3 linked regions of the Arabidopsis thaliana genome follow. The protein of the gene in region 1 interacts with the protein of each later gene in a pairwise test. Each region holds a gene or a part of one and is shown in the gene's direction. Other genes may lie near its edges.

Evidence for each region. The genes of interacting proteins can lie anywhere in the genome.
Region 2: the proteins of E2F3 (region 1) and SYD interact in a two-hybrid assay, tested with the Arabidopsis thaliana proteins (one large-scale study listed by BioGRID).
Region 3: the proteins of E2F3 (region 1) and CDKB1;2 interact in a protein complementation assay, tested with the Arabidopsis thaliana proteins (one large-scale study listed by BioGRID).

Annotation. Positions count from the first base shown.
Region 1 is NC_003071.7:15,117,993-15,123,695, forward strand, and holds E2F3 (E2F transcription factor 3), read left to right. Parts: upstream 1-1,596; 5' UTR 1,597-1,695; coding exon 1,696-1,971; intron 1,972-2,007; coding exon 2,008-2,157; intron 2,158-2,487; coding exon 2,488-2,674; intron 2,675-2,726; coding exon 2,727-2,768; intron 2,769-2,808; coding exon of another isoform or gene 2,809-2,862; intron 2,863-2,946; coding exon 2,947-3,121; intron 3,122-3,247; coding exon 3,248-3,299; intron 3,300-3,397; coding exon 3,398-3,456; intron 3,457-3,537; coding exon of another isoform or gene 3,538-3,588; intron 3,589-3,694; coding exon 3,695-3,743; intron 3,744-3,863; coding exon 3,864-3,929; intron 3,930-4,018; coding exon 4,019-4,095; intron 4,096-4,268; coding exon 4,269-4,512; intron 4,513-4,638; coding exon 4,639-4,708; intron 4,709-4,803; coding exon 4,804-4,901; 3' UTR 4,902-5,192; downstream 5,193-5,703. Other genes in the region: EMB3114 (Mitochondrial transcription termination factor family protein), read left to right, coding at 1-190; HVA22J (HVA22-like protein J), read right to left, coding at 5,432-5,703. UniProt on the Arabidopsis thaliana protein: Transcription activator that binds DNA cooperatively with DP proteins through the E2 recognition site, 5'-TTTC[CG]CGC-3' found in the promoter region of a number of genes whose products are involved in cell cycle regulation or in DNA replication.
Region 2 is NC_003071.7:12,055,129-12,059,811, forward strand, and holds the start of SYD (P-loop containing nucleoside triphosphate hydrolases superfamily protein), read left to right. Parts: upstream 1-1,642; coding exon 1,643-1,750; intron 1,751-1,844; coding exon 1,845-1,906; intron 1,907-2,154; coding exon 2,155-2,270; intron 2,271-2,367; coding exon 2,368-2,757; intron 2,758-2,858; coding exon 2,859-2,914; intron 2,915-3,431; coding exon 3,432-3,592; intron 3,593-3,679; coding exon 3,680-3,744; intron 3,745-3,826; coding exon 3,827-4,219; intron 4,220-4,334; coding exon 4,335-4,495; intron 4,496-4,683. UniProt on the Arabidopsis thaliana protein: Catalytic component of the chromatin structure-remodeling complex (RSC), which is involved in transcription regulation and nucleosome positioning.
Region 3 is NC_003071.7:16,150,743-16,154,627, forward strand, and holds CDKB1;2 (cyclin-dependent kinase B1;2), read left to right. Parts: upstream 1-1,730; 5' UTR 1,731-1,808; coding exon 1,809-2,442; intron 2,443-2,524; coding exon 2,525-2,594; coding exon of another isoform or gene 2,595-2,664; exon of another isoform or gene 2,665-2,749; coding exon 2,750-2,888; exon of another isoform or gene 2,889-3,031; coding exon 3,032-3,124; 3' UTR 3,125-3,344; downstream 3,345-3,885. Other genes in the region: AT2G38630 (Transducin/WD40 repeat-like superfamily protein), read right to left, coding at 3,541-3,776, 3,875-3,885. UniProt on the Arabidopsis thaliana protein: Together with CDKB1-1, promotes both the last division in the stomatal cell lineage as well as the number of stomata.

The DNA of each region.
Region 1 (5,703 bases):
TTTCTCGTTTAGTTTGGAGAATCGGATTAAACCGAGACATGAAGCTTGTGCTGCGAAAGGTGTGAGGTTTCCATTGCCGGTGATGTTGAAGACTAATGAAGCTGGTTTTAGAGATACATTGGAGGTATGTTGTGATTCTTCTCCGCCATTGAAGACCTCTCGCCTTGTTACTGTACAAAAAGATTCTTGATTTATAGAGTTTTGTGTGCTAGGAGAACATGGAAGCAAGTGAGTGAGAGTTTCTTGCTTTTTGTTGTTGTTTTTTTGTTTAATGGAGTTGGAGAATTGGTGAGAATTGATGGGGTTTGCTTTGTTTTTAGGTACATTTTTGTAATGAATGATGATGAAGAACTCAATGAATGAAGAAACCAGCCTCTGCCTACATTTTGAGACACACACAGGGATGGTGAGTTAAATCTTGATAAGAGAAAGAATGTTCATTTACAATTCACGATTCCGATGTATTTCGGTCTAGTTATTGTTAGTGAACGAGAAATCAAGTGTATGTAAGTCCAGAAACCGTGTAGAGTTGCGATTTGCAGAGAATTGTGATTCTACAATTGGAGGCAAGATGATGAATGTGTGAACTGATTAGCGTAACGGTTTAGTTATTGGTCTTAAGTCTTAACAGGGAGAATTGGTTCTAGAGCTTTTAGTCCCTTTGATGGTTCGTGAAATGCCAGTGGTCTATGATCGGATTCTCTGTTTCCGTTCTCCTTCTTTTTTTGGGCCTTAAATCCGTTTTTATTGGGCTTCAACTTGATAACGACTTTACATTCTCTCGGCTCAAATGGGGTACACTCGTAATGAACATGAATGAACTTAAGGTACTACAATACAACAATGCCTCACACTCTCTAAGTGAACCATTTTTCTTGTGACCTGTAATAAGCTAACGGCGCAGGACAAGAAAAAAGCGGTACGAAAACTTTGCCAATCTAGGTCTTTACCAATTTCTATTTACCCTTTCTAACTATTTTCTATCACTCATTTGTCGTTAATACTAATTAATGACATCAATCATGTGCAATATTATAGTCCTCCAAATACTGAATTGAATTATGAATCCTTCATCAAGTGACTTTAGACTTAATCTACACTTCGCATCAGTTTTTCCACTGCCATACATGATACAACAACCACTAATCAATACAAAAGGATAAAAAATAAAAATAAAAATATTATTACACATATCATAACGGAAACAGCAGCACATGTACTATAAACAAACTCTATCCCAATCTATTTGCAGAAATCTGTTTACCGACTACACACATTTAAATAAAAATTTCAGATTCAAAAAACAAGTTCTAGATCAAAAATATATATGCATGATCTCCTCTTCTTCACCATTATAAAGAACAGAAAAGAATCTCAATATTCCCGTTACTAAAAGGCACAAAAAGTAATTTCCCTAAAGTAAGTAGGGTCAATCTAAAACTAAATACAAAATCCCGGGGCACAAATAGAAAGAAAAAAAAGTATATATTTATTTCCTTAACATTTTATTTATTATTGCTATAGGCTTCCCTCCACATCTATCCCAACATAAAATTCCCTCCTTCCCTCGTTTTCTGCTCTCTCCTTTTCTTTTCTTCTTCCTCTTTCTCTCACTAAAACCCTTGTTTCCTTCACTCGCCGTCGCTTTTCCCGTCATCGGAATCTTCAAATTCGACTCTCGCTTCACTACGATCCATGTCCGGTGTCGTACGATCTTCTCCCGGTTCTTCTCAGCCGCCACCGCCGCCGCCGCACCATCCACCGTCATCTCCGGTTCCGGTTACATCTACGCCGGTTATACCACCTATACGTCGTCACTTAGCTTTCGCCTCAACAAAACCTCCGTTTCATCCTTCCGATGATTACCATCGATTTAACCCTTCTTCGCTCAGTAATAATAACGACAGGAGCTTCGTTCATGGTTGTGGTGTTGTAGATCGGGAGGAAGATGCTGTCGTTGTTAGATCTCCTGTGAGTTTTGGGTGCTTTTGATTCTTCGATTTAGAGATTTTCCCCAGTGAGATTGGTTTAGAAATTCGAGGATGTTTTGGGGATTTCGATTGCTACTTGTTGCTTCTAAGTCTGATTCAAAAGCTTCGCAGCGTTAGATTATCGTCGATTCGTGTCAATTTTTGTCGTTTGTTTAGCTTCGCGATGGTACATTTTGCTCATAACACTGCGTTTCAATTACACCCAATTGACGCAAATCAGACATCAATTTCTCCAATTGCCATGCCAAATTGGCTCTGATTGTTGCGTGAGGTGTTGAATGTTCACATAGTGTTGAGCATTAGCTTATTGATATCAAAGTATTGGTGTATGAAGCTTGACATTGTTTGTTAATGTATAATGTTTCAAGTAGATCCCAATGTTGTGAAAGTTTATGAGGAATGATATAGATAATTTGTGTGTGGATGCTTTAAAACCTTTTGGATGATATTTCTTTGACCAACTTCTTTAAGCTAATAACAACTTGTTTATATGCAGTCACGAAAGAGAAAGGCGACAATGGATATGGTTGTTGCTCCATCTAATAATGGATTCACGAGTTCTGGTTTCACTAACATACCTAGCAGTCCCTGTCAAACTCCTAGAAAAGGGGGCAGAGTCAACATCAAGTCAAAGGCCAAAGGAAACAAGTCAACTCCTCAAACACCCATCTCGACAAACGCTGGTAAGAAGAATTGTATTCTTGACTCTCTACCCCTTTTGGCCTTTCTATATAGTTAGATCCTTTTATGAAATATCTTTCATGTCTAGAGTAACAAGTAAGTCGAAGAGCTGATTACTTTCCTGGTCAACTTGCAGGTTCTCCTATCACACTTACTCCATCAGGAAGTTGTCGTTATGACAGTTCTTTAGGTAATTAACAACTTTTCACATATATATTTAATATTCGATACATGTTATAGTGTATATGAAGATGCTGACATAAAAGCTGTTCAGGTCTCCTTACAAAAAAGTTCGTCAATCTAATTAAACAAGCCAAAGATGGAATGCTGGACCTAAACAAAGCTGCAGAAACATTGGAGGTGCAGAAACGACGTATATATGATATTACAAACGTTTTGGAGGGGATAGATCTCATTGAAAAGCCTTTCAAGAATCGAATACTTTGGAAGTGAGGATTTTTATGATATAGTATGCTTATGTATTTTGTACTGAAAGCATATCCTGCTTCATTGGGATATTACTGAAAGCATTTAACTACATGTAAACTCACTTGATGATCAATAAACTTGATTAGGGGAGTTGATGCGTGTCCTGGCGATGAGGATGCTGACGTATCTGTATTACAGGTGTAGTGAAACAGCATACACTCAAAAGTCATTGTGCATGTAAATCTTAAAATATCATGTAGTTCTCGCTTCCTTTGATTAATGTTCTTGTTTTGTAGCTGCAGGCAGAAATTGAAAACCTCGCCCTCGAAGAGCAAGCATTAGACAACCAAATCAGGTAAGCATTCATTTAAAGAGTTTTGGGTTATTGTGATTAATCTATTTAACCAATGCTGACGCTTTAACAACTTTTATTCAGACAAACAGAGGAAAGATTAAGAGACCTGAGCGAAAATGAAAAGAATCAGAAGTATAAATCTCTGTCTATCTATCTTTTCGTATGGCTAGTTTGTTCTGGCTATGAGATGGTGCTATTTATATGATGGACACTTAACCAATCCGTTCACATTGTCCAGATGGCTTTTTGTAACTGAAGAGGATATCAAGAGTTTACCAGGTTTCCAGGTCTGTCTTTCCTATTTCATATGTTTAATCCTAGGAATTTGATCAATTGATTGTATGTATGTCGATCCCAAGACTTTCTTGTTCACTTATATCTTAACTCTCTCTTTGCTGTTTCTGCAGAACCAGACTCTGATAGCCGTCAAAGCTCCTCATGGCACAACTTTGGAAGTGCCTGATCCAGATGAAGTTAGTCTTTTTCAGCGACCTTGGATGACATCTGCCATTCTTTGTTAGATTCCAAAACGTTATTATAATGTTTCTTCTTTACTTGACAGGCGGCTGACCACCCACAAAGGAGATACAGGATCATTCTTAGAAGTACAATGGGACCTATTGACGTATACCTCGTCAGGTATTTATGCGTTGGCTTCAAATAATAGAAACATTGTTATTGGCATTTTCCGTGACTTCATATACTCTACTGATGATGGTATACATATAATTGAACGTATCAAAACAAAGATTTCTATGATTTGGAACATTCATTGTCCCGTTTACATGCTTTTACTTTGTCTTCATGTTCAGCGAATTTGAAGGGAAATTCGAAGACACAAATGGGAGTGGTGCAGCACCACCAGCATGCTTGCCTATTGCTTCTAGCTCAGGATCTACAGGACACCATGACATCGAAGCCTTAACTGTTGACAACCCAGAAACTGCTATTGTGTCTCATGATCATCCTCATCCTCAACCCGGCGATACCTCTGATCTTAATTATTTGCAAGAGCAAGTAGGAGGAATGCTTAAGATTACTCCCTCTGATGTTGAAGTAAGCCATCTTCCTGCTTATTTTTATAATGAACATAGAAATAGGAAGTTGTGCAGAGAAACTAATTAACCTGACTCAAAATCTACCCTCATAATTGTTGTTTGATATTGGTCTTGTATTTTGCAGAATGATGAGTCGGACTACTGGCTTCTCTCAAATGCTGAGATTAGCATGACGGATATTTGGAAAACTGACTGTATCCTTTGCATATATGCAATTTGTTTCTCTCTTATAGTTAACTATATCTATCTGCATAAGATATAAATACGCAATCCTTAACTCTAGCAAAAGCTGGTATCGATTGGGATTATGGAATAGCCGACGTGAGTACTCCACCACCAGGAATGGGCGAAATAGCACCAACAGCTGTTGACTCAACCCCGAGATGATCGAATACCAAGCACACTTCTCAACTTCTGATCCCAAATGTGTTACCTCACAACACTCCCTAAAATCATATACAAGGAGGGAGCAACTACAGAACGTGTATGAACCAATGGCAGGTGCGTTCCATACAATGTACCATTAGATTATGATTCATTTATCGCCTAGAGTGATGTTGTAGAGGAGCACCGAGAAACTAATGTAAGTTTAACAGAGAATGTACTTCATCGGCTGCATTGGTACACTATTTGATTATAATATTTTTGACCACTCAAATGCATCTTTATAATCAGCTATATGAAGAAATCCAAACTCAAATCAATATCCGGATTAAAGCGGGAAGTTTAAACGAAAACAAACACAAATATTCTCGCTGTATTAATACTTACTGCTTCAATTTACAGAAAACATGAAAAAAAAAAAAAAATCTGTTTTGTTTCAATTCAAAACTTTCATTCACTTTTCTTTCCCTATATATCTTTAAACAAACGAAAAGGGTTTCTTTGTCGAGTCACGTATATGTACGTTTGCGTTACTATGCCGCTGGCTGAGTTCTGGAGTTAGAACGTCGCAGCTTAGCTCGAGCATCAGTGAGGGGTGATCCCGGAATTGTATCAGGAATGTTGACTCCATCATCACCGTTAAATGTTCCGGCGGAGTCTCGGCCTGGTGTTGGTGGTGGTGTTGGTGGCGGCCACTTCCTCCCTCTGCTTGTTTGCTTCTCTAGCGATCGCAACGCAGATAGTGATTTGTTCAGCGGTCTTGGAGCGCGCGGTGATGGAGGATCATTGTCCATCTCCACCGGTG
Region 2 (4,683 bases), 3.1 Mb from region 1:
ATCAACAGCAAATAACAAGTTGCTCCACGACACTGCATTAGGCTCAATCTTATTAGTAATCCATATCTCGACGACGGATGCCCGGTGAAACAGCACCGCAAGCTGCTCTTCTCTAACACTAGCAAGCGTCACAGTATCTCCAAATACGGCTCGGAAAGGCAGAGGCAGACGCGGTTCAAATCTTGAAATCAAAGGATAGTAGAAAATCAGGGTGATCTAGTGATGGTAGACCATGAAATGGGATCTCTTCTAGGGCATACCAGTAAGTGTTTCCCTTTAGAGACACGCCACTGTGTTTGTACAAAATATACCAGTCTGGAGTGAAATCATCAATGACCTCCCATGAATTGGAGTATAAACTGTAAATCTGAAGCTCACGAATTCGGTCCCTACTGGTCTCCAAGTACTCATTCACGAATCTCAAGATTTTGTGATTCTTTTTCTCGTATCCGAGAGCGTACTTCACGCACTTGTGGTAGATAGAATTTCTAGGTAATTCGATATACCTTGTTTGTCCCAAATAAGGGTTCCAAACAACAACCCTAGAAGAGTCTTTGTCTCTGTCCTTGTTGATGCATAAGAATAAACCCTTGGCAGTGAAAGATTTTAGATATTTTGATTCCATCTGCATTGAGATTACCTATAGGATCTATAGACGGAGAGAGTAGATCTACGCTCATCAAGGAAACTCTATAGTCCATCATCATCACCACCTCAATTCCATTCCTCTGTTTCTTCTTTAAAAAGCTCTCACTTTTCGTTATAGTGTTCCACTTTTTGCAGGTCAATCGCAGTTTCCCCAGAGATTTCACCGGAACCCTAGAGAGCACCTCCTCCTCCATATCAATTGGAAGATCGAACATCTTCGAATCGAATCTCCCAAAATCTCTCTCTCTTTTCCGTGTCTATCAATCCATCTCTTCACGCCCTCTTTTAGTGATATAACTTATCTTTTTCAATTTGGGCTTTATGGTAATGGGTCAAGGCCCATTAAGGGGTCTCGTTTAGAACTCTTGATTAATGTCTGAAATAAGTTTTATACATTTCTTCATTTGGAGAGTCATTTCGCAGAGACGACGCATAGCTTCTTCACTTGTCAGCTCTCAACGTTTCTCACCTGAAATTTCACTTCTGCTTCGTCTTCTCGAGCCGGATCTCTAATTTGTAAAGCTCCCTCTCTCTTTCTTCTTGTTCTTCTTCGTCTCCTTCTACACTGATGGATCGTTATTTAGCTATTTAGGGTTTTGTGAGTTGCATTAACTAGAGTAACTCGCGAATTCTTCTCCTTTGCCTTGCGATTTGGGGAATTTTTTAGCTCCATCAGCCAATTTTACAATTTTGTATGTATCCGTGGATTTATCACATGAATTGTGGACCTCTGAGTTTTTTTTTTTTGTTAGGTTCTTCTCGCTTTAGTTTTGCTTTTAGGTACATAAATTTTCCTCCTTTATGATTTACTTGCTCTTGGGCTATTTTCTTTTATTTGTTTGGTATGGAGTATGGACTCTAGAGTTTAGTTTAGTTTTTTTTTTTGGGCACATTGGTTGGAATTAGTCTTGTTTTATTCTGAATTGTGTAATCAATATCTGCATGCTTGTGGTGATGCAGGGAATTCTTATGTGATGGTGTAATTTAAGTTAAGATGACGTCTTCTTCGCATAATATTGAGTTGGAAGCAGCTAAGTTTCTGCATAAACTTATTCAAGATTCTAAAGATGAACCTGCAAAGCTAGCAACTAAACTTTATGTGGTAATGTGGCTTCACCACTCAGTGTATGTTTTATTTTGTAATTTTGAGCTTTATTCCTGTGCTTTAACTTTGTTTATTCTTTCGATTACTCTAGATATTGCAGCACATGAAAACCAGTGGAAAGGAAAACACAATGCCCTATCAAGTCATATCTAGGTATTGTTTTCCTTATATATCGTCGCTGGTTATTTGTTAATGAATTACTGATTAGGTTGAGATGATATAATCTTCTTACGCTGTGAGGACGTGGGGGCTGCTTCTTACTGAATCAGTTGCTTTAGCCTTTATCTAACTCAAGACTTTAGAATCTAGTTATTCTGGGTCTTTCAGCGTCAAGCTGTTTCTCATGCTTTCAAAGATTTATCACTTTTGTTTTACTGATAAAGTCTTTCTAAAACTCCCAGGGCCATGGACACTGTAGTCAATCAACACGGTCTTGACATTGAAGCTTTGAAGTCCTCGTGTCTTCCTCATCCTGGTGGTACCCAAACGGAAGATTCTGGGTCTGCACATTTGGCTGGTATATCCTCTCTCCTTTGTTTCAGTTGAGTGTTTCAATTGTTTTTTTTATTTATTTATTTATTATCTTAAGCTTCTTGCATCAATGTGGAATACAGGGTCTTCCCAAGCGGTTGGAGTTAGCAATGAGGGTAAAGCAACTCTAGTTGAAAATGAGATGACAAAATACGATGCATTCACTTCTGGTAGGCAGCTTGGTGGATCAAACAGTGCGTCACAAACCTTTTACCAAGGGTCTGGAACTCAAAGTAACAGATCATTTGATCGTGAGAGTCCATCCAACTTGGATTCTACGTCTGGAATTTCTCAACCTCACAATCGTAGTGAGACAATGAATCAAAGAGATGTCAAGTCGAGTGGAAAGAGAAAGAGAGGTGAATCATCACTTTCATGGGACCAGAATATGGATAACTCTCAAATATTTGATAGCCACAAGATTGATGATCAAACTGGAGAAGTAAGCAAAATAGAAATGCCCGGTAATTCAGGTAGGGATATTTGCTTCAACATTGTTTCTTACAGAACAAAGCATATCCTTTTTAATCTAGAATATAAGAAGCACCCTACAATTGTTGCCATTAAACCTCAGGTGACATTAGGAATTTGCATGTTGGGTTGTCCTCAGATGCATTCACGACTCCACAGGTACATAACACTAAGTTTCCCGAATCCATCCAGATTATATACATATTGTGTACATAACATTAGGTTTATGAAATCATTTTGAGCCTCCCTGACTCTGCCAATTTCAAATATTTTGGGACTTTGTGCTACACGTATCTGATGCACAATAACTTCTTAAGAATGTATAAAGAGATATATGCTGGCACATGGTGGCTTATTCTCCGAAACATTTGTCTCTCCTTAGAAGTATTATTTTCTTATCTATTTTCGTTTTCTGTATTGGAAATATGAAAAAAATGCTTGCATTTCCCGTGGTGATTTTCTTTGTTTTTTAACCTAAAAAACTTAGATGCCACTAAATTCACTTTTTCAAAAACGTGATTTGATTAAAACTTTGCCTTCTATATGATGTATTGAATCTTACTTGCATATAGTCTGACTTAGGCTCTGCAAAATGTCCTTTCCTCTTTTATTTCATACCAAGATACCTCGTTGGAACTCATCCCCTCTATATGTGGGATCTTATTTTCTATGGCAGTGTGGCTGGCAGAGCAGTGAAGCCACAGCAATCAGGCCTGCAATTCATAAAGAACCTGGAAATAATGTTGCAGGAGAGGGATTCCTGCCTTCAGGTTCACCTTTTAGAGAGCAACAACTGAAGCAGCTCAGAGCCCAGTGCCTTGTGTTTCTAGCTCTTAGGTACCTTACAGTCTCCTAGCCTCTGTATACTCCTTTTGGTGCGGCAATTGTAACTCTAAAAATTTCTGGTTGATTTTCATCTCGTAGAAATGGTTTGGTACCGAAGAAACTTCACGTAGAGATTGCCCTTCGAAATACTTTCCGCGAAGAAGGTAATGTTGGTGCTCACTGAAGTTACTTTCGAATCCACTTTTTACATGCTTTCCCTTGGATCATAATTGGTCTTCATTACAGATGGTTTCCGCGGAGAATTGTTTGATCCGAAAGGGAGAACACATACGTCCAGTGATCTGGGTGGCATTCCTGACGTCTCTGCACTGTTGTCAAGAACAGACAATCCCACTGGAAGATTGGATGAAATGGACTTCTCATCCAAAGAAACTGAGAGATCAAGACTAGGGGAAAAAAGTTTCGCAAATACTGTATTTTCTGACGGGCAAAAGCTTCTAGCATCTAGAATTCCCAGCTCTCAAGCACAAACTCAGGTTGCTGTTAGTCATTCTCAACTAACGTTTTCTCCTGGTTTGACCAAAAACACACCATCAGAGATGGTGGGGTGGACTGGAGTAATCAAAACTAATGACCTCTCAACTTCTGCTGTTCAACTCGACGAATTTCATTCTTCTGGTTAGTGACTATCTTAGATGGGATTGTTTTAACTGATGGGTCTTTCCCTTTTGGAGTGTAGTATTGTTAACTAATTTGATTGATAACTCTTCGAATATGGATATATGGCACATAGCAGATGAAGAGGAAGGTAATTTGCAACCGTCGCCTAAGTACACCATGTCACAGAAATGGATTATGGGTCGACAGAATAAGAGACTATTGGTTGATCGTAGTTGGTCCCTTAAACAGCAGAAAGCCGACCAGGCAATTGGTTCACGGTTCAATGAGTTGAAGGTCTTTCTCTAGCCTTTTCTTTCATTGGTGTTACCTTTTGTTTCACGAGTGATTGATTTTTCCTGGTGTCAACGTTTTATGCTGTTGCTTGTTGTTTGTGGTGGTTCTTACTTTTCCGTGTTCTTGATCTTGTTATTGGAACAGATCAATGATCATATTTAAGTATCCGATTTTGGATATAGAAGTGC
Region 3 (3,885 bases), 1.0 Mb from region 1:
TGCAACACAACAATATTTGTCACAAAAAAAAAACAATCGTTTCAGATGGACAAGATATTCTAAAGTAAAGACTTGTCAAGCATTAACTTTGAAGAGAAGATTGTATTGGCTGAGTGATAGGGTTCTCTTCATCCATTGTTTTCTGTTTTTTCCTTGGTCGTCCTTGAGGTTTCTTGGGTGGTTTTGGCATTGCTTTACACTTGCATGAACGTTTGTTGTGTCCGACTTGTTGACAATTGCTGCAAGTCTAAATATGCAAAGATTAAATTTAATAATTTGAAAATGAAGATCTTGTGAAACATAATTCATTGTTCTCTATTTTACCATTTAAACTTTTTCACGTGTATAAAGAACTTTTTGAGGTGGACGATCTTCAGTTGGATCACGGATTCTGTCATTGTTCTTTGGTCGATTTTTGGAAATTAATATCCCATTAATATTTAATTACTATGGGGTTAAGTTTATTAACAGGTTTTAGTTCAGAGTTTGTTTTACTAAAAACATAGTTCAGAATTTAAAAATAGATCTGACCAAAGCTGACGGTTTTTTTCATTAAATTCCCTTAATAAAATGGTTGCAAATAAGTTTATTGACCCTAGTAAATCAGTAACGGTTTTTCATAATCAACTTTAAAGTCTTTAAGCCATTTTCTTTCGTTTAGTCAATGCCCTATCATTGAATATTATCTTTGTTTTCTTTTTCATTATTGTAATTTTCTTTTATGTATAGTAGTCCAATAATTTTTTAATATTCAGCCATTGTTTAGTTTCCACATGAAACACACAATTTGTTTATAATCTTGTTTTTCTTTCCCCTTTACATAGAACTTCTTATGATGATTTTTATGAGTTTGTGAAATTGCATACCTTGCACATTCGTAGACCTAGTCAGAATTTTTGTTGTTGTTGTAGTATCTTTATTGTAAAAAGAAATGGTTTTCTTAATGTAACTATCGATCAAAACTGATGCAATTACCATACATGAAATTGGAATGAGTGTAAGAAGAATATAAAGTTGAAATAAATCAAAAATGTGAAACTGAATCAATATCATATGAAGTTGAATCATGTATACTAGAAGCCTAGAACACAAGAAACAACCCACCATTAATGAATAATGAGTAAGAGTTCACAGTCCCAAAATAATTGAAGTTACAAATTCGAACACAAAAAATCAAACCTAAACATTTTTCCAATTGGTTGAGTAAGTGAAAAAAAACTACGTAGTAAGAAATTCTTTTTTTGAGTTTGTGCCAAACATTGAACATTAACGTATAAGGAGAAAACTAATGGGATACAAGCTAAAACAGTTATAGTCTTATTAATTAGTATGTTAAATACTAGATTAAAGTTAAAATGAAGTTGGAAAAGCTCGAAGTTTCAACCAATTAATGCGAAATGATCGACTCTTCAAGTAATATTAATAGTTTAGCAAAATAAATGACTGAAAAATCTTTATTATGGGTTGTGGCTGCAAGCATGAGCTTAGCTTTTTGTACTCAGGGCCGGCTTTACATCAAAGATCATGCATAGATTCATTCAACTAAACATTCACCATGGATAATGAATTGAAATCTATAAACATAATCAAGCAAATATCTTATACTATACTTATCTGTTTAAAATGACTTTGAGTCTTTGACTAATAAAATATTATTGGTACGTGTGAAGCGTGCGAGGGATTCAAATGTTAAACGTTATAGCAAAGAGGCGCCTTTATTTACCAGATCTAAAATCGAAAAGGGGCTTTAGGGTTTATAAGACCCAAACAAAAAACATTCATCAGTCTCAATTCAAAATCCTCCATCAATGGAGAAATACGAGAAGCTCGAAAAGGTCGGTGAAGGAACCTATGGAAAAGTCTACAAAGCAATGGAGAAAACCACCGGAAAACTCGTCGCTCTGAAGAAAACTAGGCTCGAAATGGACGAAGAAGGTATACCACCAACGGCTCTCCGTGAGATCTCTCTTCTCCAAATGCTTTCTCAATCAATCTACATCGTTCGTCTCCTCTGCGTCGAACATGTTATTCAATCGAAAGATTCGACTGTTTCTCACTCTCCCAAATCCAATCTCTATCTCGTTTTTGAGTATCTCGACACTGATCTCAAGAAATTTATAGATTCTCATAGAAAGGGCTCGAATCCTAGACCGCTTGAGGCTTCTCTTGTGCAGAGGTTTATGTTTCAGCTTTTTAAAGGTGTGGCTCATTGTCATAGCCATGGTGTGCTTCACCGTGATCTTAAACCGCAGAATCTTCTATTGGATAAGGATAAAGGGATTCTTAAGATTGCTGATTTGGGTCTTAGTCGTGCTTTTACTGTGCCTCTTAAGGCTTATACACATGAGATTGTTACTCTTTGGTATAGAGCTCCTGAAGTTTTGCTTGGTTCTACTCATTACTCTACTGCTGTTGATATTTGGTCTGTTGGATGCATCTTTGGTTAGTAATCAGCTACTATGTCTCTTTTAATGGTCTTTTGTTCTACTGTTTGGATTACTGATGTTTCCCCATTTTTTTGTAGCCGAGATGATTAGGAGGCAAGCTCTTTTCCCTGGTGATTCTGAGTTTCAGCAACTACTTCATATTTTCAGGTATTTGCTTCTTGTTTTTGATGCCAATGTGTATGTATACAGGAACCAGTTTAGGACTTTAGCCCATTAGGTTCAGTACTCGTGAACTCATTTGGATTATGGGGACTGTCTAGTATCAATATATCTGAAGTATGGTTTTGTTTTGGGTTCTGGAGATTGTTAGGAACACCAACTGAGCAGCAATGGCCGGGTGTAATGGCATTGCGTGACTGGCATGTCTATCCAAAGTGGGAGCCGCAAGACTTATCACGTGCTGTTCCATCTCTATCTCCTGAAGGAATTGATCTTCTCACGGTAATGCTCTTTTCTAAAATATGACCATTGTTGGAGAAGTGGCCTAAGATTCTCTTGCATACTTGATCTCTTTAGTAGATTCTTTCTGTTGGGGTTCGTTCCTAGTTGATGATAATTTGTTTTGAACCTTTGAACAATTGCAGCAAATGTTGAAGTACAATCCAGCAGAAAGAATTTCAGCAAAAGCAGCTCTCGATCATCCCTACTTTGACAGCCTTGACAAATCTCAGTTCTGACCTCTGCCAAATTACTGATCAGGCTTCTCTTTGGAGTTCTGAAGCTGATGGCTCAAGTTTATTGTCTTGGTGTCTTATGCTGTGTGCTTTAGAAAGATTTGTACTTAAACTAAACAATCTGAAAACCTTGTTTGTTCAGCGAGAGTGAGAGAATCTTCTTTAAGTGGCCAATTTTATTTGTTCATGTAAACAAGTCTATCAAAGCAAAAATGGTTAACCCTATTAAGCAGACAAATCATTAGTGTACATAAATGAGAGACGAATTTGAAATATTTGCTGTTTCATTACAACGACAATTGCTACTCAAACACACAAGTAAATTACATATCTCATGATATTACACAATTGAGAAACAGAACAAGATACAGAGATCTCTTGTATTAATGTAAAAAAAACAAAACAAATGATGAGTAGCTTCAATTAGACCAGACATGGAGGAGGCCGTGTCTGTTTCCTGTGTATATTTCATTCCGTTCTTCGTCGTAGAAGAGAGCGGTTATGTCTTCCAAAGCCTCAGCAACCGCACTTCTCCTTCGAGAGGAATTCCCCAAATCACTACTGCTGCAGTCCTCTTCCTTAGGAGGACCATTATTTGCTTTTATCTTAGCTAAGCATTTACCAGTCAAGATATTGCTTATGTTAATCGACCCCGCTACATCAACAACCAAAATCACGACAATGTCTCAATAGCAAAACAAAATCAGACCATGAGGTTTCTTGATTTGAAGAGTGGATGATGAGTCTACTTACCATTTCCTTCT